4 linked regions of the Pelodiscus sinensis genome follow. The protein of the gene in region 1 interacts with the protein of each later gene in a biochemical or structural test. Links are inferred from orthologs where the notes say so. Each region holds a gene or a part of one and is shown in the gene's direction. Other genes may lie near its edges.

Region 1 (6,955 bases):
GTGAGGACACGGGGTCTTGGCTTTGGAGGGGGGTGAGGCTCGAGCACCAGCACGGGCTCCCTACTGTGGGGAGAATAGGAGGGGGCTGAGCTGGAGCGTGGTGGACTGGGTGGACGGATAGGAGTGAGGAAGTCACCAGCAGGGTGAGCGGGACGCACTGCGTCCCACTGCTGCAGACCATGCTGTCCATGGGGGTCCCTCTACTTTGGCTTTGCCTGTGAGGAAGGTGAGCGGCGCACAAAGAGCCCTTTGTGGTGCGGCCGGTGCCCAACGCCCAGGGCTTTTCCATGCTGCGCCCGCTGACAGCGTCGGCTATGGCTGGGCAGGCTTTCCCCAGCTCTATGCAGCATTCCAAGCTCCCCCAGCGGCAGGGTGCCATGCACTCCAGCCAACACTCACTGTAATGGGCTATCCTGAACTGAGCCAGGGGTGGCATTGCAGCGTCACTGGTGGAAATCTCTCTCACTCTTGCTTGCCTCTCCCCCCAACCTATTGATGCTGACGTGATGATGTCATTCTGTCATCCTGCAGGAAGTTTTTTTAATATATATATATATATATATATATATATATATATATATATATATATATATATATATATATAGAGAGAGAGAGAGAGAGAGAGAGAGAGAGAGAGAGAGAGAGAGAGAGAGAGAGAGAAAAAAAATATGTCGGGCAAACAAATATAGTACTTTGTCAGACTGGATGAGGAATTTTACCAAAGACCAGAGTGTACTAGATTTTTTTCAATAACCAACTTTTCTTCATCATATTAATTACTATTTGTATTATTATAGTGCCTAAGATATTTATGGACCAGGAATTCATGTAGCTGAGCAGTGCCCTGTGGTGTAGAAGGCCTGTGAAAGTACTTTATAGTCCCTTGAGCCATGTGCCAGAACAAAGATTGTCTTGCCCTAAATTGGTAAGTGAATAGAAGTGCCTATTTCTGCTATCCTGCTGGCACTGTAAAAACAGAAAATAAGAGATGACAATGTAACTTCTTTAACTGGTCTGATTCTTCTCGGACAGCGGTGTGGAACCTTTTTTAGGTCGGAGAGGCCGCAGACCCACAGAAAAACAGGCAGAGCCACAAATGAGAAGGGGGAAAAAAACCACCTCACTGATGTGGCCCCAGACTGAGAAGGAGAAACACATTCGCCTCATTCTCCTCACACACCAGACTAGTAGATGGTGAGAGGGCTGAGGGGAGGGAGGAGGGAAGGGGGAGGCAAATCTCGGGGGAGGGAGGAGGGAAGGGGGAGGCAAATCTCGGAAGGCGATCCAGGCAAGACAGGGTCTGCATCTGATCCCCAGGCCTTAGGTTCCCCGCCCCTGTTTTAGGAATTGGCTGTAAATATGCTTAAGCGATCAGCCTGAGCTGCAAAGTGCTGGTCCAGAGTCTTCCAAAGCTCAGGAATAACAAGATCCATGATTTTGGTTTAAACTATTATAGAAATTGAGGCCATTTTCAAAACAGGGATATAGGATTGAATTTCAAGCATTTTCTAACAATCTGCACAGCAGTCTGGATACAGGTTTGATGTGAACTCTAATATAAATGTGATCTTCGAAATATTAACTCCACAGAACCAAGATTTGTTGTACTCGGATACAGCAATATTTTTATACAAAAATTGGAATAGAAGAATGAACAATGAAACTTACAACTCCAGCATCCTTATAAATCTCAGACTCATAACAGGCTTTATCAGTGATCTGGGTCAGTGGCAAACTGCTCTGTGGTGTCCCTGCAAAGAACAATGTTTTTATATGCCGTGATAGAAGTAGAAATCAAAACAAAGCTAGAATTAAATTTAGATTACTGCAAGCACTGATAGAAGTGCCAAAGTAGGCACAAAATGGCAAAGTAAATAATGTGAGTAGTAGTCTGCTCCATCATGTCTCGTATTTCAATGGTATTTTGTCTCTAGTAGAATGTGAATGACATGCTTTGACCACTGAGTTCCTAAAAATGATTTAAAAGCATTCACACTTCAAGATATATCAAACGTAACCTTACGCTGAACTAGACCAACACCTAACTTGTCATTCTCACCTATTCGCAACCAGCTCTGATTACACCTCATTCTATATTGGTGACAATGCACTGTATTTCAATCTGTGGCAGTGTCTCAGGCAACTAGCCTGCATAGGTGATGGGAAATTAATACAGAGAAGACCAAAGTCACACAAATGGATGCTTGGTAGGCCTCCAATGATTCGTGAAGGCTGGAGGTTAAGTCTAGCATGCCAATTTTCTCAAAGCCACACAAAACAGGAATGATGCACAGGAGAAAATGTAAGGACTACATTAGTGCTAAAAGGAAGTTTCCCAGTACACAGGACTGTAGCCAAGACACAAAGATACAACTATAGTTGTAAACTGTTGCAAAATAATGCACGGACGAGTAACAGACAAAAAGCAGTGAAGGCTACTGTTTTTCTGTCTGTTCTCCCCAAAATTAAGATGAAACACTTGAAAGTTTTTGGTCTCCTTGATATACTGATGCGTAACTTCAGGCTTTATTTTCAGAAATGCTATAAATGCAACTGTAACAGAAAACATGTTCGTCAGTACATGCATCTAACGAAGTGGGTCTTTGCCCACGAAAGCTTATGCTTCAACACTTCTGTTAGTCCATAAGGTGCCACAGGACTCCTTGCTGCTATAACAGAAAAGGCATTCAATACCTTTGAAGTTCAGGTGGAAGGTGTCACAAATTGAGCAACCAAATTTAGAAGTTAGTCTAAAAAGATTGAACCCAGTGCTCACTTTTAATCTGAGACAGCCATAAGATCACTCTGGACAGATCACACTGAAAAATTTGCCTGACACTGACTAGTCACACTACCCAGACAGTAATTTTACCCAGACAGTAATTTTACGGATGCTCCATTGTGAAGGACAAATATTGCACTGAAAAACATGCATGCTCATCTCAGCTACCAGCCTTCCAAATAGGTCACTGTATCCTGACAAAAATCCCTGATCTTTTGGCTTCCACAAATTCTCTATCCCCCCCCCCTGCAGGGCAGCATGGAGATTTCATAAAAAGTCACCTACTCTAACGTTCTGGATACAACAAATCCAGCCAGCAAACTTGTGCAACTTAAGTAAAGTCCAGGGAGCACACTCCTACGCAAAGGCTGTATCTGTTACACATCACAGCACCTGCTATGTTGCAGAGAGCATTTCTACTTTGCTAGATTACAGTCACATGGAGGCAGCAGGAGGCAGCATGGCGAACAGGGTGAAAGACTGTCAATATACTAGCTCCACCCCCACTTCTATTCTGCGTCTTTCTAGACCTTGAGAAATAGCAGCATGGGTCAGGGAGGTTTTTCCTTAAATCAAACTCACTGGAGACATGATCTTCCCAGCAACAGTCAATATAAAAACTCTTCTTTTACCTGGTAATGCCCCCACATGCACCATCCCAATGACAACGGATTTGAGTCTCCCGAAGAGCTTCAGAAACTCCATAGTCTATGGAAAAACAGACGGGGGTGGGGATTCAGTCAGCGCCGGGAGGCTCATTATTGAGAGGGGCAGTCCAGGGAGACATGGGAAGGGAAGAGGAGCGATTTAAGGATCCGGCGCTTCCCAAGGCGGAAAGCCTGGTTACACCGACCCAAGGCGGGTGCAGCCCACACGGGCAGGCGCTAGGAAGCTCAGCCCCACTCAGCTTCCCCCCGGGCTCTCCCCCTCCCAACGCAGGCAGCGTCCTCAGCCCGCTCCCCGTTACCTGGGCCGGGCCTCTCGGAGCAGCCCCGCCGTGCGACCCCCTCGGCCTGGCCCGGCCTGGGCGCCTTGTTTACATGCCGGGGCAGCCACGCTGCTTCCTCCCGCTTCCGCCTCGGGCCGCCAGCTCCTCCCCTGCGCCCGCTGGCCCCGCCCGAGCCGGCTGCCCGCCTGGCCGGGTCGCCGCGCGGCCGGGTCCCCGCGCCTCGCCCCATGCCCCCGGCCCGGCCCCCTGCGCCTCGCCGCCTCCCCGCGCAGACCCCGCCCCGGCCGGGTCCCCGCGGCGCCCCGCGCGGGGCCACGTGTGCGGGCCGGGCAGGGAGGCGGCCCCGCGCCCTCTCGTTTAAATGTCCCGCTCGGCCGGGGCCGCTCTCTGCGCAGGGACAGGAGCGGCCGCGCTGTGAGGCAGGAGGCGCCCAGCGGAGCCCGCCCGCGCCCTTGCTCCCCGCCCGCCCGGCCCCGCCTGCAGCGCCGGGCAGCTCCCGCGCAGGGCTCGTGCGGCCCGGCAGCCTCTCCCCGGGGTAAGGCGGCCGCGGTGGGGAGGGAATCGGGTGCCTGTGCCCGGGGCCCCCCTTCGGCCCCAGTGGGGGGGGGATGGGATGGATGGACCCGATGCCCCCCAATGCACCCACATCCGCCCCCGAGGGGCTCCCCTCAGGTGCCCCCGCCCGGCGATGAGGACCCCCCCATCCTTGCCGCCCGCGCGTCCGGCGCTCTTTGTGGGGGCTGGGGCGCTGCAGCTGTTGCCGCTCTCGCCTTTGTGAGGCGGTGACCTGCCCCCACCCCCTAACCCTCTGCCTTTCCCTTCTCCTAGGGTTGGAACCAGCCTCTCCCAGTCCCATCCAGGCACCATGCGCAGGGAAAGGTGAGTTTCCTAGCTCCCTGCAGGGCGTGTGGGGGTGGAAAGTGAAGTAGGCCGAGGTCTCCATTAGGCAGATCCCAGAGGAGACTTCCTCGAGGGGTTTATGTCCCTGTATCTCTGTTTCTTGGCAGTGACTACGTGGAGGAGAAGGCTCCCCCCAAGGGTGAGGGTGCTGCCGACCTTGCCATGCGAGCCCGAAAGAGAAAAGCTGATGTGGCGACTGTAAGTACAAAATGGCTCACTTTGATCCTCTAAGTGCTGCTCTGTCATTCCGTGTCCATCTGGACTCTCTGGCTGCTGAAATATTTGGACCGTGGCCTCTTGTGCCCTGGCTGGATTGTGAATGGCCATGTGGCATTCTGACTGCTGTAACTGGCTAAAGTTTTGTGCTCTGTCATGCAACCTATATCTGCCTGGGATAACAACTGGGTTTACATTGGTGTGACTCAGAGTAGAGTTTGGCCTGGAGTCTGTATTCTTGTTAGCACATGGCTCTTTTTTCTTTTTTCCCCATTGTAGTTCCTACAGGATCCTGATGAAGAAATTGTTAAAATGGAAATGAACAAGAGAAAGCAATATGAAAACCAGGTAACTGACTTGGCTAGGGATTTATAGTTACTGATCTTTGTAATTTATAGCGTTTTCTTGGAACTTGTGGCATTTCACCAGCTCTGTGCATACCTCACTTCTAGCATACTGAATGGTATTAGAGGAGGGGAGACTTTTGGCCAGGGAAACTAAGAGAAACCCCTCAATTTACAAGATGACATGGGATCCTTAATGCTGTCGTAAAACAAATAAGATCTGCTTGAATTCTTGTGGTAGTATGACCAAATATCCTGTGTTTTCATGGCCTTTATGGTCTAAGGCCTTAATTTTTCATGGATAGATGACGTCACAGAACATCATTTTCTTCATTAGAGAGCTAAAGCCTAGAACCTATCCATTTCAGTATAATTGACAGTTTGTATTTTTGCAACTGTCTCTACTTTAAACATATATATAAAAAGAGGACATCTGTATGCTTCATCTAGACCATCAATTAATTATTTGTTACTGTGACATTGATTGTTGTCTGAGTGCCAAAAATCAAAACTAGGATTTGGAAATTTACAGTGGATGTAAGTTTTAGTGGCATTACTGGGCCCACAGGTAAGTCATAGTAGTCCCTATAAAGGCACTAGATTTCAGAGAGACCACACTGAATGGCATAGGAGGGCTGGACATGGGGAGAAGAAACATTGTTCTTAGCAGGCAGTGCCAGCTTTCTCTATTTCCCTGTGACAATATTAAGATAACTTAGTTTTGATTTTGAAATAGCGATTGTTCTAAACTTCATTTGTTTGTTCCATTCTCCCATTCTTCCTTTGTTGCACAAATCTGGGTGTACGATCAGTTACTTCCCCACACTTTCATACACAATATGAGATATGTACTGAGTTTGTGAGGATGCGCTCCCTGTATATCTTCAAACGTATGTGCAGATAAAATGTGGTTGAGGCATGAAAAATAAAATATACATATAGGCTCTTCCTTGTTGAGACTTGAGCTAAATAATGCACATATCGAATGATATTTAAGTTATTGTAGTCTTGCATGGGGACTATAGTACCCTGTTTATGCATAAGTAACCCTATTACTGAATAGGGATGTAAGCGAGTAGTTGAGTATTCGACTACCCAATAAGGCTAAGCTTCTCGGATAGTTGAGTCAAGTACTCAGCTAATTGCTTTTCCCCCACCTTGCTCCCTCTATCAGAGGCAGAAAGGGCAGGGGGACAGTAGCCAGTGCTGGGGGAGAGCCAGCTTAAAAGCTGGTTCCCCAGCACTGTTTCTGCGGTGCCACCTGTCAGAGGCAGCAGCGTGGGAGGTTGGAGGTAGCCGAGCCTGCTGCAAAAAGGCGGGTAGGGGAGGCCGCTCCCCACTAGGATCCCCCACAGGTGTGCTGCTGGACCTGGTGCAAGCTGGGACCAAGCAAACGCAGCTCAGTCCTGCTAGTCTGGGACCACTGCAACTCAGCATTTTAAATGTAGTAAGAGCTGGGCAGCTCTTACTACATTTAAATTGCTGAGCTGCAGCGGTCCCAGCTCTGTCCAGGCTTTTGCTGGTCTGGGACCTACCTCTGCTGCGGCTCTGCAGTTTAAATGTAGGAGATGCTGGGCTGCCTGCATGCCCAGCACCTTCTTCTTGTAAAATGCAGAGCCACAGCAGGGGTAGCTCCTGGACTGGCGTGAGCTGGGACAGCGCACCTTTTCTTAGGAATTAACTGTGTAGTCGATACAAATTAGTCAATTACCTGCCTCTTGACATCCTTATTACTGAATAAATCTAATCCAGGAGTGGGCAATA
Region 2 (7,868 bases), on another chromosome or scaffold:
TCACAGCTGGAGAGAGAGGCGTCATTAAAAGAAAACTATCTGAATGCTCAGAAATGACCCACTTGTATTGTTCATTGCAGTAAGTTCATCTGTACTGGTTACCCATAGCCTTGGGCTGGATCATCTCATTTGTGTATTGCTATAATGCAGTGCTGTCTGCTGGATGTTCTCTACTGCCCCGTTAAGTGCCCATGTCAGGTTTTCTCCACAAACTTCTTAGCTTCACTATGCTAGCACTCTTATGTCAGTCCGATTAGGTGTCATTTGTAACTGACACAGCTGTGTCAGCTAAAGCCACCCTAGCATAGATATGGCTACACTTTCAAATCTGCACTTTTCCCACTATAGGCAAGGCTACAGTTTTGCAAGGAGGTTTACAGGATCTGTCGAAAAAGGCTTTCTTTCTTGACAGATCCCTCTCTTGACTGCCGCTTTTTGCCGACAAAGTGCTGCGTTTGGCAAAACGCAGTGGCCATTTTTATGCAAATTAGGCATGGGATATTTAAATCCCTGCCTCATTTGCAATGTCGACCTGCCTAATCTGCATCCCTCTGCCGACAGAAGGATGCAGTCTAGATATACCCTAAAAGTAACTGTGACAAAATGGGACTGGGCCTGAGCCCTGAAAGGTTTAGTGTCCCCCACCACTGGCTGGGAGCTGTGTGGGACCGACCCCCTGAAGCAGCTGGGAGCTCTAGGGCCCCCCCATCCCTTCCCCTAAACTGCTGTCCCGCCTCTTCCCACCCCTGCTCAGCCTCTACCCCCATTCCACCCTCAATCCTCCTTCCCTGAGCAATTTGACCTGGCACTGGCAGCAGGGGTCAGGCCTGCCCCATACTCCCGGCAACAAGCAGAGGGACCTGGCTCCAGCCTGCTCCATTCTCCAGGTTCACAGCCACGTCACTTGCGGAAAGGCCCTAGCCTACCCCACCCCACCCCACCAGCTCCCTGCTGTGTTGCTTCACTTCCCACAGCCACCAGGTACACCTCCTCCTTATGTCCATCCAACAAACGTACTCACGCAGTGGGGAAAGATTGTACACCCAGGGACACATTGCACGAGGACAGGGTCCCATCCAAGAGTGGGAGACTATAACATTGGCTCACATCAGCATCTGGAACAGCCTGAGTCAAATGGGACTGTCATTGGGGTTCCTTGCAGGGTTACCAGTAGCTTGATGGGGCCTTTTCTTCTTGCCCTGGAACCCACAGGCAGTGCTTGGCTGTAACTGTAGTCCATGAACAAGCAGTCGAGATGGAAATGTCTTTCCCATCCACACTCATAATATTTTCCCAGGGTCATTCCCACTGGGAATGGGTTGACGGGTTGCCATCTAATCAGCATTCTCTCTGCCTTCAACAGGCCAAGTTGATAGATCATTTTCCCTGGCTCGTGAAGATCGGTAACTCATTCTAGCTATTGGCTTGGATTCCCAGGGTTCTTGGTCCTTTGACCTTGTGCCTCCAGCCCCTCAGCCTCCAAGTAGTCCTCTATCAAGGAGACTGCTCCTGTAAGTGAGGTTGAATAATGTTGCCTCATTCATTCTTTTCCTATGGTGGAGAGAATCTGAATGAACTGCACCATCATCGCTACCTGTGCCACTTGGGTCCCCTCAGCTTCTCTGGCTCCAGCCAGCACCAGAGCTTTTGGGCCACAGACCTTGGCCTAGTTCTTGGGGTGCTATCACTCCCGCCAAAGTCATTGCTGGTATGTTTCAGGGTTGATGCCCATTGAGTCAAGTATGGCCACTTTGACCAATGGGAGCTGACAAATTGTGCTGCACTGCCCCCCCACCTCCCAACGGCTAGGGATCAGCTAGCCAATACCAGTGCACCTTGTCACAGTGCTACATTAACAATACATGCCTTGTCATCATCAATACAACATCCTAGGTGGGCTCCTGACATTGGGAAGGGTATTGTACAAGTACTTCCTGGGGGGCTCCCTAAGCACTGAAGCTGGTTGCAGAGCCTGTGGGAGCCTAGGGCTGACCCCATCAACAGACCTATTCCCCAACCTTAACTCTGTTCCCAAGGGAGATTTCCTAGGCCTGCAGATGTCCTGGCCAGCTCCTCCATGAGCCTTCGGTGTACAGACAGCTTGGATTGGCAATTGAAGCTCCTCTCAGGCACTGCGTGGCCCTGTAAGGGCCTCTCTCCCATTTGATCCCTCTGGTGCATGGTCAAGATGGACAGGATGGTGAGGTTCTTCTTCCATATGATACACTTTTAGAGCTGCTTCCTGCTATACATTCCTTGGTGCATGATCAGACTAGAGAGCTTGTGATGCTGCTGGTACATGAAGCAAGGTCTCGTGCACAATGAGGTAGGACTGCCGCTAAAGCATTTCTGGCACTGGGCACACCATCAGGGCCTCTCTCCTATGTGGATTCACATGTGCAGGTTGAGTTTTGATACTTTTCAAACTGATACGGTCTCTGGCCACAGTTCGTTTATTGATGGGTCCTGAGCTAAGACAATGTGTTGAAGCTGCTCGCACACAACTTGTACAGGGGGAGCTCTCACCCACATGGATGCACATGTTCACAGTGAGATTCTTCTGCTATCAGAAGCTCTCCTTACATTGTGTGTTCCTGTAGCTCATCACTGGCTGGGTAGAGTTGGGAAGCACCAGTTCCTCCCGCAGGCAAAACAGCAAAGGAGATTCCAGACATATTGCTCCCTTTTGGGTTCGGCGTGGTCATGTATCCTACATGCAGTTAATCTCTGGCTTTCGTTCCAGGAGTCACCATCTAGAATGGGTGGAGGGGAAGCCAAAGGTGGTTTGCATTGCACATCACCACACCGAAAGCCCCCAATGTGCTTCTCTGATTGAGGGGCGCCATTCTCAACACCCTATTACAGTATTGTCATCCTCAAATGGTTAAAAATGTGCAAAACCCAGAAGAGTAAGTAAAGTAAAATGTGGGCTCTTTTTATTCCACTGTTTTTGCCCTTAGTTAAGCACTTCAGTCACATTTTGAATCTTTTCTCTGTAATCAGGAGGTCTAACAATCCATTTGGTTGTTTCATGAGAGTGGAGCTAAAAGCTAGGCATTATTATTCTTAGTCTCACTTGATCACATGCCTCCAGTAGCCCAGGCTTTGAAGAAAAACTTCAAAGGTTTCGTTAGTCTTTAAAGTGCTACTAGACCATTGTTGTTTGTTTAAGTTTTTCCTGTTACAGACTAACTCGGATACCCTTCTGAAGCTTTGGAAGGTTGTGACACTTGTGGGAACTGCCCCACGGTGTGGCTTTAAGTGGCTTGTGGCTTCGGCACTCCTGCTATAAAAACTATTCCGGTGCCACTGGACTTGGGCTAAAACCGCAGGATTTGGGAACGGTGCTCTTAAAACCAGGCGGAAACGTTGCCCCATAAAAACGTCCTCGGGGGGGGGGGGGTTCCCACGCCTGTTTCTCGGTGATTTCCGTGCCACGGATGCTGAGGTGATGAGGATCTGCGGATGCTGAGGTGATGAGGATCTGCGGATGCTGAGGTGACAAGGATCTGCGGATGCTGAGGTGATGAGGATCTGCGGATGCTGAGGGGATGAGGCGAAGGATCTGCGAATGCAGAGGTGACAAGGATCTGCGGATGCTGAGGTGATGAGGATCTGCGGATGCTGAGGTGACAAGGCGAAGGATCTGTGGATGCTGAGGTGACAAGGATCTGCGGATGCAGAGGTGACAAGGATCTGCGGATGCAGAGGTGACAAGGATCTGCGGATGCTGAGGTGATGAGGATCTGCGGATGCTGAGGGGATGAGGCGAAGGATCTGCGGATGCTGAGGTGACAAGGATCTGCGGATGCTGAGGTGATGAGGATCTGCGGATGCTGAGGTGACAAGGCAAAGGATCTGCGGATGCTGAGGTGACGAGGATCTGCGGATGCTGAGGTGACGAGGTGAAGGATCTGCGGATGCTGAGGTGACAAGGCAAAGGATCTGCGGATGCTGAGGTGATGAGGATCTGCGGATGCTGAGGTGACGAGGCGAAGGACCTGCGGATGCTGAGGTGACGAGGATCTGCGGATGCTGAGGTGATGAGGCGAAGGATCTGCGGATGCTGAGGTGACGAGGATCTGCGGATGCTGAGGTGATGAGGCGAAGGATCTGCGGATGCTGAGGTGATGAGGATCTGCGGATGCTGAGGTGACGAGGTGAAGGATCTGCGGATGCTGAGGTGACGAGGCGAAGGACCTGCGGAGCCAGCCGCCGACGTCCCCCCGGGATCCGAGAGTCAAGCTGGTTCTTTCCCACCCGGAGCAGGGTCTCTAGACAGAGAGGTCCTAGGAGCTGAGCTACCAGTTACCAGCCATGCTTGTGCTGCCCAAATGGCATGTGATTACACCCATGGCCTCCTCATGCATCCCCACCCCCTCCCAGTGTTGCCCTCAGCGATGGCTCCTGATCCTGAGCTGCTGAGGTGAGGTTACTAGAGACTACACATCCCAGCATGCAACGCTCCCCATTGAGCCGAAGGATCCAGGGATCCAGCTGGAGCGTTGCATGCTGGGATTTGTAGTGCCACTGGCGCGCCTAGGAGGGCGGTGGCTGTGAGTGTCAACGAAAAAACCCGCCGGCGCCCAACGGGCTCATCGGCAATTCTACTGGTCAGGTCTCCTGTCACACAATGCAGGGGCGGGAGGAAGGAATCTTTGGCGGGTTTCAATTGGCTTTCCCGCTTGCCGTCCCTTCTGTTCTATTGGCCAGCCCCGCTCTGTGGGCGGAGGAAAGACGAAGGCCAATGTCTTGGTCATTCCACGAGGGGAGGGGGCGGGAAAGGAAAAGCGTCCGGTTTGTGATTGGTCGCGAGGCGCCGCTGCTCTTTTTTCACCCCCTCCCCGCCCCAGAGTGGCGGTCCCTCAGAGAGGTGGGCGGGGCGCGGCCAGACGGCTTCTGATTGGCGGGCCCGCGTTTGGCGCCAGCTTCGGGTGTCCGCGGGGAGCTCGCGCGCGCGCGCTGTGCGGCTGACGGGAGGGCCCGGGCGCGGGGGTCGCCGCCGACAGCAGGAGCCGCCCGCCCGCCGCATGGATCCCGGCCCCGGCCCCGGCCCGCCGGGCCCCCACCGCCGCCGCCTCCTCCTGCCGCAGCTGCCGGCCGCCGGGCCCGGCGTGGCCAAGTCCCTGTTCCCCGCCGAGCTCTCCCCGGTCTCCGGCCTCAGCCGCACCATGAAGCAGCTGCAAGGGCTCGGCTACAGGTGGGACCGGCCCGCCCCCTGCAGCCCCCACATCCCCCCCCCCGTCTCCGCACTTCCCCCCTCCCCCACACTGCCCCACGTGACACCCGCTCTTCGCCCCCCCCCCCCCCCCCGTCAGCTGCCGGAATCCCGCAGGGGCGTTTTCTCCCTCCCCACGTGTGGCTCCCAGAGCGCCCCCCCCCAGCCTGGAACCTGCCCCCCCCACTAACCTCATCCCGCCTGCAGGGGCCCCCCCCCCCACTAACCTCATCCCGCCTGCAGGGCCCCCCCCCCCCACTAACCTCATCCCGCCTGCAGGGCCCCCCCCCCCCACTAACCTCATCCCGCCTGCAGGGCCCCCCCCCCCCACTAACCTCATCCCGCCTGCAGGGCCCCCCCCCCCCCCACTAACCTCATCCCGCCTGCAGGGCGCCCCCCCCCACTAACCTCATCCCGCCTGCAGGGCGCCCCCCCCCCCCACTAACCTCATCCCGCCTGCAGGGCCCCCCCCCCCACTAACCTCATCCCGCCTGCAGGGGCCCCCCCCCCCTAACCTCATCCCGCCTGCAGGGCGCCCCCCCCCACTAACCTCATCCCGCCTGCAGGGCGCCCCCCCACTAACCTCATCCCGCCTGCAGGGCCACCCCCCCCCACTAACCTCATCCCGCCTGCAGGGCCCCCCCCCCCCACTAACCTCATCCCGCCTGCAGGGCGCCCCCCCCCCACTAACCTCATCCCGCCTGCAGGGCGCCCCCCCCCCACTAACCTCATCCCGCCTGCAGGGCGCCCCCCCCCCCACTAACCTCATCCCGCCTGCAGGGCCCCCCCCCCACTAACCTCATCCCGCCTGCAGGGGCCCCCCCCCACTAACCTCATCCCGCCTGCAGGGCGCCCCCCCACTAACCTCATCCCGCCTGCAGGGCGCCCCCCCACTAACCTCATCCCGCCTGCAGGGCCACCCCCCCCCACTAACCTCATCCCGCCTGCAGGGCGCCCCCCCACTAACCTCATCCCGCCTGCAGGGCCCCCCCCCCCCCACTAACCTCATCCCGCCTGCAGGGCCCCCCCCCCCCCACTAACCTCATCCCGCCTGCAGGGCGCCCCCCCCCCCCACTAACCTCATCCCGCCTGCAGGGCGCCCCCCCCCCACTAACCTCATCCCGCCTGCAGGGCGCCCCCCCCCCCCCACTAACCTCATCCCGCCTGCAGGGCGCCCCCCCCCACTAACCTCATCCCGCCTGCAGGGCGCCCCCCCCCCCCACTAACCTCATCCCGCCTGCAGGGCGCCCCCCCCCCACTAACCTCATCCCGCCTGCAGGGCGCCCCCCCCCCCCCCACTAACCTCATCCCGCCTGCAGGGCGCGCCCCCCCCACTAACCTCATCCCGCCTGCAGGGCGCGCCCCCCCCCACTAACCTCATCCCGCCTGCAGGGCCCTCCCCCCCCCACTAACCTCATCCCGCCTGCAGGGCCCCCCCCCCCCCACTAACCTCATCCCGCCTGCAGGGGCCCCCCCCCCCACTAACCTCATCCCGCCTGCAGGGCCCCCCCCCCCCCGCACTAACCTCATCCCGCCTGCAGGGCCCCCCCCCCCCCCGCACTAACCTCATCCCGCCTGCAGGGCCCCCCCCCCCCCACTAACCTCATCCCGCCTGCAGGGGCCCCCCCCCCCCACTAACCTCATCCCGCCTGCAGGGGCCCCCCCCCCCACTAACCTCATCCCGCCTGCAGGGCCCCCCCCCCACTAACCTCATCCCGCCTGCAGGGCCCCCCCCGCAGCCCTAACGCATCCCCAGCCATGCGGCCCCCCCAAAAACCCACTTGTGCCTGTGGCCTCGCCCCCTCAGCTTCCATAGCCCCCAGGACCTCGCCCCTACAGCGGCTTCACGCCGGCTCGCCCAGACTTCACCCCGCAGCCTCCTTGTAATTGCCTCCGTGGGGCCCCCATCACTCCACCCCTATAACCTTTCTGGTACCAGGCTCCCTAGTTCCTTGGCGCCTGTCCCCTTCCTCTGTATCTGGCTCTCTGGGCTCCAGTCCTGCAGCCTTCCAGACTTCTTGGGCCTGCACTTCTCCTTCGGATGGCTCTCATGACTCTTCCCCCTGCATTCCTAATCTCTGCAGCTCCTGTGAATCCTGGTCTGTCCAGCTCTACAACATATGGCCCCCCATAACCTCACCCATGTAACCACCTTGGCCCCTTTGTTGTTTTTCTCCAGCCCGTTACTCCACCTATATAACCTTTACTTCCACTATATATAGTTCCCCTGAGCTCATTCCTGCAACCTCATGGCTCCCTGGTACTGGTCTGTTTAGTGCACCCTTTCAACACAGCCCACATGGTGCCACATATGATCTCAATATTATTCCTAGTTGCTGCCACATACCTTATGCATGAGTCCCCATGACCTTGTCCGGAGACAGCTATGTGTGCTGTGTTCATTATGGGTACTCAAAATTTCAATTTGCAGGACTGTTAAACTGGCACGTTTTTGCATTGTCCACTACTTAAACTGATCAATTCTGTTCCGAATGGAGCTCATCTACAGTGTTTCTACATTTTAAACCTATTGTGACACTTTCTGGCTGAAACATTGAGTAAAATAACTCTGTTTTTAATCTTTATAGTCAGCATGAAAACTCTCTGCTAATGCTGGAAATGAGGAACAGTAGCAATCTACAAAGAACAG
Region 3 (7,739 bases), on another chromosome or scaffold:
TTACGTCTTGCCAAAATACAATGATAACTACAAGTCATTAGCAGATTTTCTCCAGAGAACTGCTGAATGCACCAAATCATGTTTATCCCATACTTCTTGAAATGTCCTATCATGTGAAACCGAGTGTAAAATACTTCTTGTCTTTTCTAGTATAGACAAGGACATAGATAGGACGCTGATTGAATGCTGAATTCCTAGTTGACCATACAACTGATAATCATCCATGTATAATGTATCCAGGCAAGCTCCAGGAGTCATGAGAATGCCAGCTTTAATTTTATTTTTAAAACTAAGTTTTTAGAATTGTGGTAGCAGAAAAAGCAGGAAAATACAAAATAAAAACTAAAACCAAAACCAGAACATAAGGCAAATAAAACGATCCAGTTTTATTAGTTCACATAAATCTCGTGTTTTTAAAGATAACTTCATGGTGAAAATTTTTCTTTTTGTTTTATTATCTTTTGGATTTGTTTGTTTTTTTACTGATTTTTTATTTGATGCATGATTGGGGCTGGCAATATTAAGACCCATCATCAGGCATAATGGTCCATGCAAAGGATAGAAAACTAAGGCTATGTCTACACTACAATATTATGTTCACTTAACTAACATCAGCATAGTGCTATCACAGTTATTAAATGAGTGTGTGTGTGTGTGTGTGTGCGTGTGCGTGTGCAAACACTTGACTCCCTGTGTTGCTGGTGTGTGTCCTCACCAGGAGTACTTGTATCAATTGTATTGTCAGTGTTGGGCACTGTGGGACAACTCCTGAAAGCCAGTAAATGTCCATGTGAATGCTGTGTTGGCCTAAATACGTCAAGGCTACATCTACACTACATGCTTCTTGCGCAAGAAGCCTTTTGTGCAAGAGTTTTTGTGCAAAAACTTCTAGTGCAAGAGCACGTCCACACCTCAAAGCACATCACAAAAGTGATGTGCTTTTGCACAAGAGAGCATCCACGCTGCATGGACACTCTCGTGCAAGAAAGCTCTGGTGGCCATTCACAGAACCCATAGAGGTTTATTGCACAAGAAACCCCTGCGGAGCATCCATGCTTGCCTTTTTGTGCAAGAACTCTTGCGCAAAAGGGAGTTTATGCCTCATAAAAGGAGGTTTACCTACAGTGGAAAAAGCCTTCGGTTCTGCCATTTTACTTTTGATTTCCTTGCGCAAAAGTGCATTTGAGGTGTGGACTCTCCACGGGTTTTTGTGCAAGAAGCCTTGCAGTGTAGCTGTAGCCCAATTGTAACTCTACTCCACAGAGAGAAGTAGTTTTATATAGGCCATGTCTACACTAGCACTTCTGTTAGCAAATCTTTTCTCACTCAGGATGATTAAAAATAACCGCACTCCCTGGGGAAATAAGTTTTGCCTGAATAAACACTTGTGTGTACAGCACTATGTCAGTAGGAGATGCTCTCTCAGGCTACGTTTAGAGAGCGTGACTATTTTGGGATACTGGAAGTATCCCGAAATAGCAATTCCGCATCTTTAAACGTGCCCGTTATTTTGAAATAAATAACGGACACACTATTCCGGCATCCCTGTAGCCCTCATTTCAAGAGGATTAAGGGATTTGTCAAAATAGGGCTTTATTTTGAAATAACCTCAAAATAAGCATAGCACAAACTGTGTAATTTATTTTGAGTTAAGGGTGCTGTGTACATGTACCCCAAATGCCATAAGCTATGTTTGTTGAGCTGGTTTTATTAAGTCAATGAGAGATTTTTCTCCCATTGGCATAACATGGCTACATGAGCAAGCTTACATTGATTGGCACAGTTTTATCTGTACAGCTTTGCTGCTGTAATCTTCTAAATGTAATCATGCTCTAAGGCCATGTCTTCATTACAGGCTGGATTGACAGATAGTGATCAATCCAGTGGGGGTCGATTTACTGTGTCTAGTATAGATTCGATAAATCAACTGCCAAACGCTCTCTTATGGACTGGGTACTCCACCAAAACAAGAGTAAGTGAAGTTGGCAGGAAAGTGTCAGCTGTTGACTTACTGCGGTGAAGATACTGCGGTAAGCAGACCTAATTGTGTTGACTTCACCTACTTTATTTACATAATCGAAGGTGCGTAACTTAGGTCGACGGCCTGTGGTAATGAAGACAAGGGCTATGTCAACACAGAGAGGCTTTTATGTTGGCAGGAGCTAAATTTAAGTGAAGTCACTTTCACAGGAAAGTCAATGCAAGACAGCTTACATTGACCTAACTCAGGGGTGTCCAAACTTTTTTCAAAGAGGGCCAGATTTGATGAAGTGAACATGCGTGAGGGCTGACCATTTTGCCTGACATTCTTTGAACCAGTAAAATTAAATGCAAATTAACTATTTTATGCAAAGTTTATTGCAAACGGCATACTTTTCATTTCGTCACATGGATGACAAATCTAAACAGGTGTTAAATCACTCTGCCTTTCATATCTGAAGGCCAGATGAAAAAAAAAAAAAATCCAGGAAGCTGAAATATATGTCAGGAACATTGTAAAGTACATTACATATTATTGGTAATAAAGGTTGTCTGTCAACTTTTAAGTTCAAAAAATATGAACAGGAACATAACACCAAGTATACATGTTGTGTCCAAATATATATTTATAACTGATTTAGACCAACTGACATTAACTGAGATTTTACAATGTATTCATCTCAATACATATGGATTTGTTGGGGGCCATAAAAGATAGATATTGCCAAATTACCTTTGGGGCCGTATTAAACCGGAACACGGGCCGCAATTGGCCCGCGGGCCGGACTTTGGACATGCCTGACCTAACTGTATAGTGTAGCGCAAGCCTAAGATTAAGAACTCTGTACTCTGAAATGAATTTGTTCTCAGGCTTTGGGTAAGTCACATGAGCCTCTGCTAGCCCTGAGATATGGCAATGATCATTGTGATTGAATGGGGCAAAGGGGGAAAACAGAGTTTTCCAGATTTATTTTTCCTCCTCTTTCCCCCAGCCTTCCTTGTGGTGTGAAGTGGCTTAGTATTGTTTGTATTACATCAGGCATGTCCAAAGTCCGGCCCGTGGGCCAATTGCGGCCCGTGTTCCAGTTTAATACGGCCCCCCAGGTAATTTGGCAATATCTATCTTTTATGGCCCCCAACGAATCCATATGTATTGAGATGAATACATTGTAAAATCTCAGTTAATGTCAGTTGGTCTAAATCAGTTATAAATATATTTGGACACAATGTGTATACTTGGTGTTATGTTCCTGTTCATATTTTTTGAACTTAAAAGTTGACAGACAACCTTTATTACCAATAATATGTAATGTACTTTACAATGTTCCTGACATATATTTCAGCTTCCTGGATTTTTTTTTTCATCTGGCCTTCAGATATGAAAGGCAGAGTGATTTAACACCTGTTTAGGTTTGTCATCCATGTGATGAAATGAAAAGTATGCCGTTTGCAATAAACTTTGCATAAAATAGTTAATTTGCATTTAATTTTAATGGTTCAAAGAATGTCAGGCAAAATGGTCGGCCCTTACGCATGTTCACTTCATCAAATCTGGCCCTCGTTGAAAAAAGTTTGGACACCCCTGTATTACATCATTGCCTTAAGGAGTGTTCATAGTGAAAGCTTGAGCAGCCCATTAAAAAGTTTGGGCCCAGACAGCCATGTGTGAACAAACCCAGATTCTTCAAGGACAGTTGACTCCTCTCCATCCAGTCTGCTTTACAGGCTAGCTGCTTAAATCAGTTTGTCCAAAACAGCAAGAGTGGTGGTGCACAGGCACATAAAAGTAAAATTATATGGAGTTGTGCAGGACAGGGGAGAACACAGTGAGAGGGATGGGTGCAAAGCGCTGTCAGCTCCCAAAACTGACAACTTTCTGCTCCCATTACAAAAGTAAAGGAGCAAATCCTTGTTCCTTCAGCAAAGGGCTAGTGATAGCTGGAGGGTATGTTCTTGCAGGTCAGATGTGGACGTGGTCTAGACCCCTAGCAGAACGCCCTACCCTGCCAACGGCACCTCCCCTTCTCATGAAGGAGCTGGCCAGGGCTGTGAGGGGACCAGAAAGCGTTCAAGACTCACAGTGGCACTCGAACCTGCAGTAGCAGGTGTGATCCCTGGAGCACCTAACCCTGGTGGCCAAAGACACGCTAGGAACTAGGCTAACTTACGGCGACCCTCCCATTCACGGCGGACGTGGGAGCCCTTGTTTCACCTCATTCTTTCTCTCGTGGTAGGAGGAGGTCCGCGCTGGCTACCTCCTGACGCATCCCCCCCGCGCTCCTCCTCGGGCTGGCGAGGGATGCTGTGGTCTGGAGGCGCCCGGCTCCCCGCCGGAGTTTGAATGTAAGATCCCCTTCCCGCCCCCGCGCCTCGCCGTGAACTCCTGACCTTCCCGTCTCCGGGGCGAGGGCTGGGCGCGGGTGCCAGCGGGTCTGGATGCGAAGCGCTTGTTGCGAGACGGAAAGAAATCAAAATGTCACAACTGAGCCTTCCCCCCTTTCCTCTCCTCCCCCCCGCCCCGGCCCATGGCTCGGGCCAGGCCCCGCTGCAGAGCCGCTCCGCGCTGAGCTGCCGGGGAGATGGGAACTTGGCAGGGCCAGGGAGCGCGCCCGCTTCCAGCAACAGCCCGCGACAGGAAAGTGGGAAAACGGTTTTCCCTCCCTCTCCTCCCCCACCCCCTTTTTAGATGAAGACGATGAAAGCCGAGCGCTGGCAAAGGAGGCCGGGCCACCTTTAGAGCTGGCTGTTTGGAAGAGGTGAGGCGCAGAGATGGGGCGGCGCCCGGCGCATTAACCAATGGATCGCCTCCGCTGTTTAAATAGACTTGTAATGTCAATCATTTTCTTCTTCGTCAGCCTCCCTTCAATCGCCATATTGGGCAACTGAGAAAAGGGCTCGTCTTTTCTTGTTTTTGCCGTCGTCTTCTCCGTGTTCGCCCGCTTCTCCCCTCCCTCCCCCAACGACGCGGCAGCTCTGACATCGGCGAGGTTTGCTGGCGCAGCTTGGATCGGGGGATCCGCAGGCTTCGCATCAGCCTGGAAGTGGGCTCGCATAGGGGCTTGGCTTGCCCCATCCTTCGCTCTCCCCAGCGTACACTTGATCTGCCCGAGACTTTCTGGTGACTATCGGGGTTCTCTTCCCCCCTCCCCTCTCCCCGGCCTGCGTCTTATGCAATTGTTTGGTGTTGTCTCTTCTCGTGGAGCCGAGCTCGAGTGTAAAAAACAAAGGCACGGAAGGAAGGATTTCAACTTAGCGACAGCCAGCCACCGCCAGAAGAAAGAGGGTGGGGGGAGATGTCAAACGTACGTATTTCTAATGGGAGCCCGACCCTGGAGCGGATGGAAGCCCGGCAGTCGGAGTATCCAAAGCCTTCCGCTTGTAGGAACCTCTTTGGGCCGGTGCATCGTGAAGAGTTAAGCAGAGACTTAATGAAACATCGCCAGGACATGGAAGAGGCATGTCAAAGGAAATGGAATTTTGATTTCACGAATCACATGCCCCTGGCTGGCAGGTTCGAGTGGCAAGCGGTGGAGAAAGGGAGCTCGCCGGAGTTCTACTTCAGGCCCCCCCGACCCCCCAAAGTCGCTTGCAGATCTGCCCCTCACGAGAGTTTGGATGTAAATGGAAACTGCCCAACGGTGATTGTAGTTGGTTTTCAGGGGAACTCAGAGGACGCTCACTTTGTAGATCAAAAAACTGATGTATCTGAAAATCACACGGACTTAGCAGAGCAGTGCACTGGGCAAAGAAAACGACCAGCGACGGATGGTAAAGTACTCGTAGAAAACAAAAGCCTTTTTTTTTTCTACTGTCTGTACTGTATCCTTGTAAGCATTAACGCTGTATACCTCTTTCGCATGTACATCACACTCTTGTCCTGCCTACGGTAAACTGTTCTGCTGGTGACACTTTTAAGATTTATTGTTTCTCTTAGATCAAAAATCCAGCACTGCCTATATTCTCGGGAATCTTAAATTAAATTGACTTCTGGAGCCCATGGCCCATCTGCAACCAACCTTACACCTTCCTCTCCCCCCTTCTTCCCCTCCGTAGTAATCGTGGGAAGTCTATATCCTTCTAACGTGAGGAAATAGTACAAGTTTCATAGAAAATATGAAACAAAGTGTAGAAGTAGATTTTCGACAAAAAAGCCTTGTTTTTATTTAATCAGAGAACCAGTTCTCCCCATCTCTTTCATGCAATCGATAGTTAACACATTGAGGGTCATAAATATTCAGGGTCTTCACCCACCCCCATGCAGAGAAAACATCTGGCAGCAAATGTATTGAATATTAAGTTTTCACTTTTATTTTTGTTTCTTCCCATTTTCCCTTCCTAGATTCCTCTCCTCAGCCTAAAAGAGCCAACACAACAGAAGAAGAGGTTTCAGAAGAACCCCCCAGTGCCAGTTCAGTGGAGCAAACCCCCAAGAAATCCAGCCCAAGAAGACGTCAAACGTAAACTGTTTAGGTGAGTACCCATCCAGTGGTGTTTTTTTAAAGCAGCGTAACTAAGCAAAGAGTTAAAGGAATATGGAGAAACTTTGTAGACTAGTATTTTTAATACACCGAAATGTTCAAAAGGGCTTTAAAATAGAAGGCTACAGATTAAATACATTTTTGTTAATATACTTTAGAAAGACTATGCTAAACTTTGGGGAGGGGGAGAGATGGGGAGTAAATGTGTGAATTTTTACTATGTGTCATTAATAAACAATCCCTTTCCACTGGTTTAAGATTTTGGTCACTTCAATAAAGAGAATCCTCTTACCAATTATATCTGTACTAGGCTGGTAGAACTAGTGAGTGATAAGTATTGATGGCTTTTCCCATTGTCTTTTCATATACTCATTGTGAGACATACAAATAAATAAGGGCAATAAATCACAAAGCTGAACATTTTCTTTATATCAAAACTGTTCTTTTTGTTATTTTTTGTAGACTCATACAAATTGTTGTTTACAGTCAGTATACTGGCTTAATGAGAGGTGGTTTTTGGGGGATTTTTTTGTTTTTGTTTTTTTTTAATGCAAGGAAGGGCTGTTGATTGGTACATTTACCAATGGTTTCAAAGTAGTGGGGGTTAAAGGAAAAGGTTTCCAAACATGATTTGCCATTGTGCAGAGCAGATTAAGCTATAAAAGCAGAAGTTAAAACAAATTAGCCCTGCTGGGGTAAACAATCCATGAACACGTCAGCATGCATGTGTATGCAAATTGTACTACTACTGTCTGTTTATTTGGGTATTTGAAGAGGAAACTGATGGTGTCTGCAGACAAATAGATGGAGTAGAAGAGATTTGTTTATTTTGACTATTGCAACCCAAAATACGTTACAGTTCAGAAAGTAGAAGATATGTTGCAAAAGAATCTTGTATTGATCTTAAATATGCCATCTGGGTCAGCTATCAGACTTGTTGCAAAACAGCTTAATAACACAGCATTTATGCTATCTTTAAAAAGTGAAATGTGGGAAACTCTGGAAACATGTTCACTTGGTCTCAGCTCACCTGCTGGATTTAAAAAAAACCCTCTGTGTGTGGCGCATCAGCCCTCTTTAAGGATGGGGTAGGGTGAGTTTCCTTTGTTTTTTTTAAAGGAATATGTCCCTCTTTTACCCCACACCCCATTTAAAATTGCGCCATCCCCAACAATTAGGGAAAAGGATGCAGTGATCGATTTAGTTTTTAAATAGTGACATGTATGTTATGATGTCCTCTAGAGCAAAGCTATCACATTTCTTTTGGCACTTCTAATACCT
Region 4 (7,282 bases), on another chromosome or scaffold:
ACAGTGGAAAAGATATAACAGGAGAATATGAGGGAGCCTCAGATTAGAAGATCCCATAGCCCATTGGCTAGAGCACATTCCATGGAGCAATGAAATCCCTGTTCAAATTATTTCTTCCATTCTAGTAGTGAAGGCACTTAAACATGGATCTCCACATCCCAGGTGAGTGCTCCAACCACTGGGCTAAAAGTTACACGGCGAGCACCACCTTCTCTGGCTGTTTTGTATGGCACTACACAGACATCTCACTTATTTCTGCAAAAAATAGTGTCAACATTTAAACTTCCTGACTTCAGGAGATGGGCTCCCATTTGTGGATGGCCAAATGAAGCTAGATGCCTTTGTGCAGCCTGCACTTAGGGTGTCTATCTCCATGAGAGGAAAGGGGCTTAGTATACAACTTTTTAGTTAGTATCTGCCTATAGCTAGCTAGGCAGTTCCCTGCCTAGCAAATTAACTTTTGTGTATCACATTCTTAGGCTCCTACCTCTTCCCATTAATTGTATAGGGAACCTATTTACTAGGGGTGGGCAATAATTTTTGATGGGGGGCCACTCCAAGATTCTGGAAAGTGGTCAAAGGCTGCACTCTTCCATGATATTAATGGAGGAGGTGCGGGGTCTGGGATGGAAGTTGGGTGCAGAAGGGAGATTGGGGTAAGGGATTGGAGAGAATGTGGGATCTAGGAGGGAGCTTGGGTGAAGGAAACAGTTGTGATCTGGGGCACTGGACTGTGGTGGAAGGGTTCGGATTGTGACATAGGACAGGAAGAGGTTGTGAACTGGGGTGTAAGGATTTGGGTTTTGATCCAGGCAGGGGACTGGGGTGCTGGGGTTTGGGATGTGACCTAGGGGAGAAGGGGTTTGTTACCTGGGGTAGAGGGCTGTGGTGCAGGTTCTGGGAGGGAGTATGGGTGCAGGAGAGGGGCAGACAGTTCGGGTTATATGGGGTAGGGGAGGCAGGAGTGGTGGGCACAAGGTTGGGGGAGGGAGGGGCTGGGGTGCCAGAAACAGGTTCTGGCTGGGAGACTTACTTGGGTGACTCTGGGCCAGCAGCCCAGCACATTTCTGATGCAGCTTCCCGTGTGTGTGTGTGTGTGTGTGTGTGTGTGTGTGTGAGAATAATTACAAGCCATAGGGGAGGGAGGTGTAGTTCTTTGTGTGCTGCCTGTTTTTCAAACAGGCAGCTTTCACTGGCCAGAAACAGCTCACAGTGGTGACAGAGAAATGTCCCGACAGCTGCTTTTCTGAGTGGAGTGTGGGTGGGGCGAGGCAATTAGGGAGCCTGCCTGGGGCTCCCTGCTGCGTCCGCAGGCCAGATCCCGTGGCTCAGTAGGCTGAATCTGGCCCGTGAGCCATATTTTATGCAGCCCTGTTCTACACTAACCTCAGGGTTTGTGGATCACAGTGGTGTTCCTGAATTATCTGAGCACATAAAACATTAGGTGATGCAATATTCAGCATTGCAATACCAAAGTCTTTTTGTGGATCTGACCAAAGACAGTCAGAACTTTATGTAACACTCCAGCAGAGGTATAAATAGAGAAAATTGTCTCATGAACTCATGTCTGTGCATTTGCAGCCAATAATTATCCAACAATTTGAAGGATGGAAATGCCACTAAACTTATTCCCAGAAATCAAGAAGAGAAAATAGGACTCACAAAAGATCTATGACCTGTCCAAATAAAAGGACAGAAACTGTCTAATGTTCATTTTACGGAGTATGTGGGATGAATGTAATTGCAGATTATCAAAGTAAGAGGCTGATTTAAGTGAAAATCCAGAACAAATTTGAAACAAGCATCAAAGACCAGCTTGCTTTTGTGAAAATGTAAGAATTAGGTTTTGGACATGAGGGCCTGTCACTCACTAGCATATATTGTAGATATGAGAGCTATTAGAAAAACACAATGTTATGATCTAGGAAATACATACTGATGGCTTCTAAATCGAGGACTCATGAACCTCAGGGTTAGAGATAAATGTTCTATGCCATTTGAAAGAGAGGATTCCCATATTTCAGCTGTGGTAGAGCATCAATTCTAGTTCTAAGCGCTTCAGAATGGTGATGATATAGTTCTTTGTGTTTCCACGGAGCCCAAATCCTGACTGGAGACTTTGTGAATTAAAAGCAGTAATAAACAAAGAAACAAAACAAACAGTTCTCTATATACTGATCACTAATTTCAGATTACGGTTCAAGTTTGTTGACTGTTCATATGCTTGCTTTATGTTATGTCCCTGTTTCTTACCTTTCATGTTTTGTGTCTTTAAGGCTTGATTGAGGCAAAGTTTTATGCATAAAATAATTATGTTCTATGAATAATCTTATTGAAGTTAATTTTATTATGCACCTGCATAAAGTTAAGCATCTGGGCGTGAGTGATTTGGCTGCTAACATTAAATAATAAACATTGTGTTTTTATTATTACGTGATAATAGGTCAATGCTGGGATGGGTTTTGCACTTAATTATTGTTGGCTTTTAGCCCAATTGGAACCTATAAAAGGGGGAAATGTTATTTCTCAAATACATTTTACAGATTACATTATATTTAGATAGACTGTTCGTTTCTTTTCCTTCTAAATGTTGACATATGTAATGAATTCCAGAGCCAGGTCAGATCAGTTTCTAGGGATTCTTTTCATGCATTTTGTAACTATTATCAGGAACATATATGCAGTTAAAGAGAGAGTGAGGGATAAAGCAAGAGACTGTTGCCAACACCTTGAATTGTACCCAAAAGCAAACAAAAAGCCAATACAGAGATTTGAGCACAGATGTTGTGTGCCCATAACAGCACTTTCCACTCAGTAACTGAGCAGCTGCATTCTGCATTACCACAAGCTTTGGGGTTTATTTATTACATTTAATGGAAGCAATCAATTACAACAATTATTGTCGGAAAGGTTCACTATAAAGACAGGATGGGATATCACAATTATTACTCATGGCAGAAGTGTTAGTGAAAGTAAAGATTGATGGATCAACCCCTATTTGACCGCCTCATGTTAAAAGGCTATCCACAAAAAAAGAATGTTTATTTTCAAGACAGTATTTACTAATACTGTGTGAAAGATATTTCATGATTATTGTTGGACTTTTTTTAAATGCTATATTTTTCATGTTTTCAGGATTAAATAATGACATTCAACTCTTTTATCTTACCACCTTGTATAGGTTTTCCTTTAATTAAAAATATGTGCTTATAATCATTTTTTCAGCTGAGAATTTAAGGACTGTCTCCTTTGCAAAGAGAAACTTTCCCCAGATAATGTGATATGTATGTCATAATTTCACCATATTTGACACAGTGCCATGGTATGAAATGGTAATATTTTAATAATGTACAGCATAATTATGTTTGGACATAACTCCATGATAGGTGGGCCTTTAAATCAATATATAATTGGATTATGCAATATATAACAATATGGTGACACAAAACTGACACATTTTAACAAGAGGCATGGCAATAGCCTGAGACACCGCCCTTACTTCAAGCTGACATTTCCTCAAGGCCTGAATGCTATTTGCATAACCCCAGACAAAATCATACCAACCCTACATACTTTCTGGCAGTCACAGTCCCCCTTCCACCCACCCACCGCCTCTTAACATGCTTCACAGGCAGATGAGACTAAATGAATGTAAAGCCTCTTTATTGGCAGCAGACGTACCACAGTGTTTTTCATCATGGCTTTAACCGTGAATCCATCGGTGACCTGCTGCTTGGCTCTCCTCGCCTGGCCTAGTGGCTGCTGCTGTTGTTGGGGTCTCTCTGCAGGCAGCTTGGGGGGGCTCGAATCCTCCTTCTCTGCCACCATCTCCCCAGGCACCTCTGTGGAAAACAGGAATCACAATACAGGCTAAAAGAATACATTGGAAAATAAAATCAACCTCACGCTCGGCTGCCCCTTCCTGGCCCCCTGCCCCTGCTGCCTTTTCTCACCCCCTGCTATCGCCTAGGTAGGGTCGGGGGGGCTGGGCCACTGACACGCTTTGTTGCTAACACCGACACGCTTCTAGGGACGCCTCACGGTTGCTAAGCAACGTGTCAACAACCTGCCCGGTTTCTGTTTGCGGTCACGTGAGGAAGGTGGGCGGGGCGAGAGGGGAAGGGGAGAGGGGGAAAGGAAATCGCGCCGATCACGCACCCCAGCCCTGGCGACAGTAAGAAAGCGCGGGCGCACAGGAGAACTACACTACCCAGAGGGCTACTGCGCTCAGCGGGGCACGCGCCAAGTTTCCGCATGCGCAGTACGGCCCAGCCCGTCCCACCGGCCCGCCCCGCAGTTTGCGTCTTCAGTCCCGTGCTGAAGGCGAGAATTTGAGCTGCGAGCGCGGACGGGACGGGGGCGTGCGCGCGCCCTCCTCCCTCCCCCCCCATCGTGGCCATGATAGGTGAGTGAGTGAGACCCGGATGCAGCCAGCGGTTCCTCCGCCCCCCACACAATCTATTCGCGAGCCAGTCCCACCGAGCCTGTGGCGCAGCAGCCTGGGCCCGGGACCCCCCCCCCCCCCCCCCCCCCCGGCTCGTGGCCACCTGCTCCACCCGCCTGTTGCCAGCACTGGCCTGGCCCCGCGGCTACCGACATAGGAAATTACTTGCGCTCCCCGCGCGCAACATGTTCACTCCCTGTGCAACCCCCCGCCCCAATACTCCCTTCCCCCCCGCGCACACAAACAGGGCTGCCAATTTTGGTATCTCATCATGGCGTAATATTTAATTAAAGATGAACCCTTTAATTCCTAGAGATTGCAGGACAACCGTGCAGGAATGGCAACACGCACACTGTAGAGTACGCACCCTTCCGTGCAACACCCCGTAGTGTATGCATTCCCCAACATAATGCAGCCACTCTGTAGGTTCTCACACCATGCACACGTACATCTATGCAGCCAGGGTACCCCGCACACACGCACTATAGGCACAATACATATGCATGCACTTAGTTTGTGACTCGAGATATTGCTAGTCTTGATCTCTTATTTAGCCAATATCAACATAATGGTGCTTTACGGCAAAGACATACTAGCACTGGTGCACCCAAGGGGAAAAAAAATTGACCGTTGACCAGCTTGTCCCCCTCTCTCCTAACACCTGCCTGCCACAGAAGGCTGTTTTTGCAGTGTGGGGGTGCTCATAGTGGGGGTGGGGGGAGGGAGGAGAACAGGGATATGGCATGTTTGGAGGAGGTGGTGGGTGAAGTCTGGGGGAGCAGAGGATGAAGAGTGGAGGTTGACCCCTTCTCCCCTGGTGCCTAATATGCTTCACAGGTAAGTGAAAGTATAAGTGACTGGACTCTCCACTCCTTTGCAGAGTACTACACTTATGCAAAGCAAGTGTGAAACCCAATGGAAAGGGATTGAAAGTGTTTTACATCAGCTTTGCACTGGCATATGTCCTCATAAAAAGAGTGTGATATTGATGACTTTTTTTCTTTTGACCTTCCAGGAAATATTTGTATCTTTTAATCAAGTGTATCCCTTTTGTTCTTTCACCATGTGGTCTGCTTATAAATCTAACTGTATGCAGTGTTGTATCTGTATTAAGTTCCAGGATATTGGAGAGACAGTATGGGTGAGGTAATATCTTTTATTGAAGCTTTGTGTCAGCTCATAAGCTTGTCTATCTCACCAACAGAAATTTGACTAATAAATTACCTTGCCCATTTTGTCTCTATAAATCTTGATGGCAGCTAAGTCGTGGTTCATCTTGATCTTTCCATTGCCTTCATGCTGGCTGAGAGTAGTTGTCTCTTGCAGTCCTGCCCTGCCATTGTTATCTCTTCACACAGCAGGAGTGGAGTTGAGGAATCAACTTACATTCGGGCTTCACAGATAGTGGTGGGAGGTAAGAGGGCACTGGGTGAAATGACCAGAGTTACCTCAAAGTTGACAACATGTATTGTGCAGATTACAACACGTGACCTTGTAATCCAACTAGCCAAAATTTCCCTCTGGTATTGGAAAGAAGAGGTAGTTAATCCCCAATATCCCTGTTCCCTCATTGTGGACCCCACAAATCACAAAGGCTACCACATGGTCTCAAAAACTGTAAACTTTTCCTTTTACATACTCCTCCTTTTTCACTTTAATTTTTATTTTGTTAATTACAGATGAAGAACATAACATTGAGGTCCTAGATAAAGTTGTTTGTGCTTGAAGGATTTCTTCCTATCCCCCGATTTTAAATACCTTTTTTCTGCCTCTCTCATTGGGTGTTTGTCTCCTATTTGAGATCTAATCAAAATTAAATATGTTCAATTTTATAGTTGATGTACTGATGAAACATTGATCCTCTAAAAGTTTTGTAACTGAATTTCTTGGGAAATTGCTGCACATTCCCTATTATTTTTGTAGCGAGAAGTTATTTTTCCTTTCTTGTTAATGTATGGTTTCTGGAATGTTAGTGTGATGTTCTCTTTAAACCATCTAAAAGCAAAAGAAAGTTGTGTAACTTTATGACGGTGTGATTTTTTTAATTCTATGTGAATATTATATGCAGTGTCTACTGCAATTTGTGCCTAGTTGCATATATCTGTTCCTTTTTTTCTAATGCAGTAGAGAGCATTTATAAGAAAACTTGATTTAATGAAAGAAGTGTTTTCTGACTCAAATATTTATATATCTTGATGAATTGTACAGAGTTCAGATCAGAGTACTTGCTTACAGAGCTGCAGTTAGTGTTCTTTTTAAAATTTTCTTTAATTTTTTAGCAAGTCAATATAAGACAGTTTTAAAAGGCATATGTGACTTAAAGTTTTGAAGGAATGAAAGGCTTGAGTGTCATATGCTTCTGATTGTGTGGCATGAAGAATTATAGAGCACGAACTGAACCCTAATCTTCCTGTTAGGATTAAATCTGCACCAGTCTTCAATTTTATTTGCATGTGGCTAATGCAACATACCTACTGACCCGAATTTAGATAGGCTATAACCTATTAAGACAGAAAATCTTAATTTAAACTGATCAGCTTTATATGGCTCATTTATAAATTGATCAAGAAAGTCTCAAAATAATTGTCAGATGCTAAATATATATATGTGTGTATGTAAAACATCGTTTTTTCAAACCTGACAAACACAGGAATCATGTTCTAACAGTATAGTGTTCTTGTGGAAAATTTTCTTTTGAATAGAAATTACTACAGATCAGCAATTTGATCTATCTGGTTGGTCCCTGCACTCATAAGGAGTACCACTGATGTCAGTGATATTTTGTATAGGCATATGGATGTGACCCAATGGGTCAGATTGTAAATATATAGGACCAGG

Evidence for each region.
Region 2: the proteins of CCNE1 (region 1) and CDC25A form a complex in vitro, tested with the Homo sapiens proteins (2 studies listed by BioGRID). The link is inferred for Pelodiscus sinensis from reciprocal best matches to the Homo sapiens genes CCNE1 and CDC25A.
Region 3: of the proteins of CCNE1 (region 1) and CDKN1B, one has a biochemical effect on the other in vitro, tested with the Homo sapiens proteins (4 studies listed by BioGRID, with this or other methods). The link is inferred for Pelodiscus sinensis from reciprocal best matches to the Homo sapiens genes CCNE1 and CDKN1B.
Region 4: of the proteins of CCNE1 (region 1) and PRKN, one has a biochemical effect on the other in vitro, tested with the Homo sapiens proteins (2 studies listed by BioGRID). The link is inferred for Pelodiscus sinensis from reciprocal best matches to the Homo sapiens genes CCNE1 and PRKN.

The regions. Positions count from the first base shown.
Region 1 is NC_134722.1:25,696,717-25,703,671, reverse strand, and holds the start of CCNE1 (G1/S-specific cyclin-E1), read left to right. Parts: upstream 1-3,952; 5' UTR 3,953-3,958; coding exon 3,959-4,266; intron 4,267-4,559; coding exon 4,560-4,610; intron 4,611-4,738; coding exon 4,739-4,829; intron 4,830-5,126; coding exon 5,127-5,195; intron 5,196-6,955. Other genes in the region: uncharacterized protein F13E9.13, mitochondrial, read right to left, coding at 1,669-1,751, 3,415-3,487. UniProt on the Homo sapiens protein: Essential for the control of the cell cycle at the G1/S (start) transition.
Region 2 is NC_134712.1:257,276,567-257,284,434, reverse strand, and holds the start of CDC25A (M-phase inducer phosphatase 1), read left to right. Parts: upstream 1-4,867; 5' UTR 4,868-5,030; coding exon 5,031-5,200; intron 5,201-7,806; coding exon 7,807-7,868. UniProt on the Homo sapiens protein: Tyrosine protein phosphatase which functions as a dosage-dependent inducer of mitotic progression. Directly dephosphorylates CDK1 and stimulates its kinase activity. Also dephosphorylates CDK2 in complex with cyclin-E, in vitro.
Region 3 is NC_134711.1:128,801,576-128,809,314, forward strand, and holds the start of CDKN1B (cyclin-dependent kinase inhibitor 1B), read left to right. Parts: upstream 1-4,725; 5' UTR 4,726-5,273; coding exon 5,274-5,748; intron 5,749-6,319; coding exon 6,320-6,441; 3' UTR 6,442-6,450; intron 6,451-7,739. UniProt on the Homo sapiens protein: Important regulator of cell cycle progression. Inhibits the kinase activity of CDK2 bound to cyclin A, but has little inhibitory activity on CDK2 bound to SPDYA. Involved in G1 arrest. Potent inhibitor of cyclin E- and cyclin A-CDK2 complexes.
Region 4 is NC_134713.1:115,480,161-115,487,442, reverse strand, and holds the start of PRKN (E3 ubiquitin-protein ligase parkin), read left to right. Parts: upstream 1-4,272; 5' UTR 4,273-4,398; coding exon 4,399-4,405; intron 4,406-7,282. Other genes in the region: PACRG (parkin coregulated gene protein), read right to left, coding at 3,682-3,828. UniProt on the Homo sapiens protein: Functions within a multiprotein E3 ubiquitin ligase complex, catalyzing the covalent attachment of ubiquitin moieties onto substrate proteins. Substrates include SYT11 and VDAC1.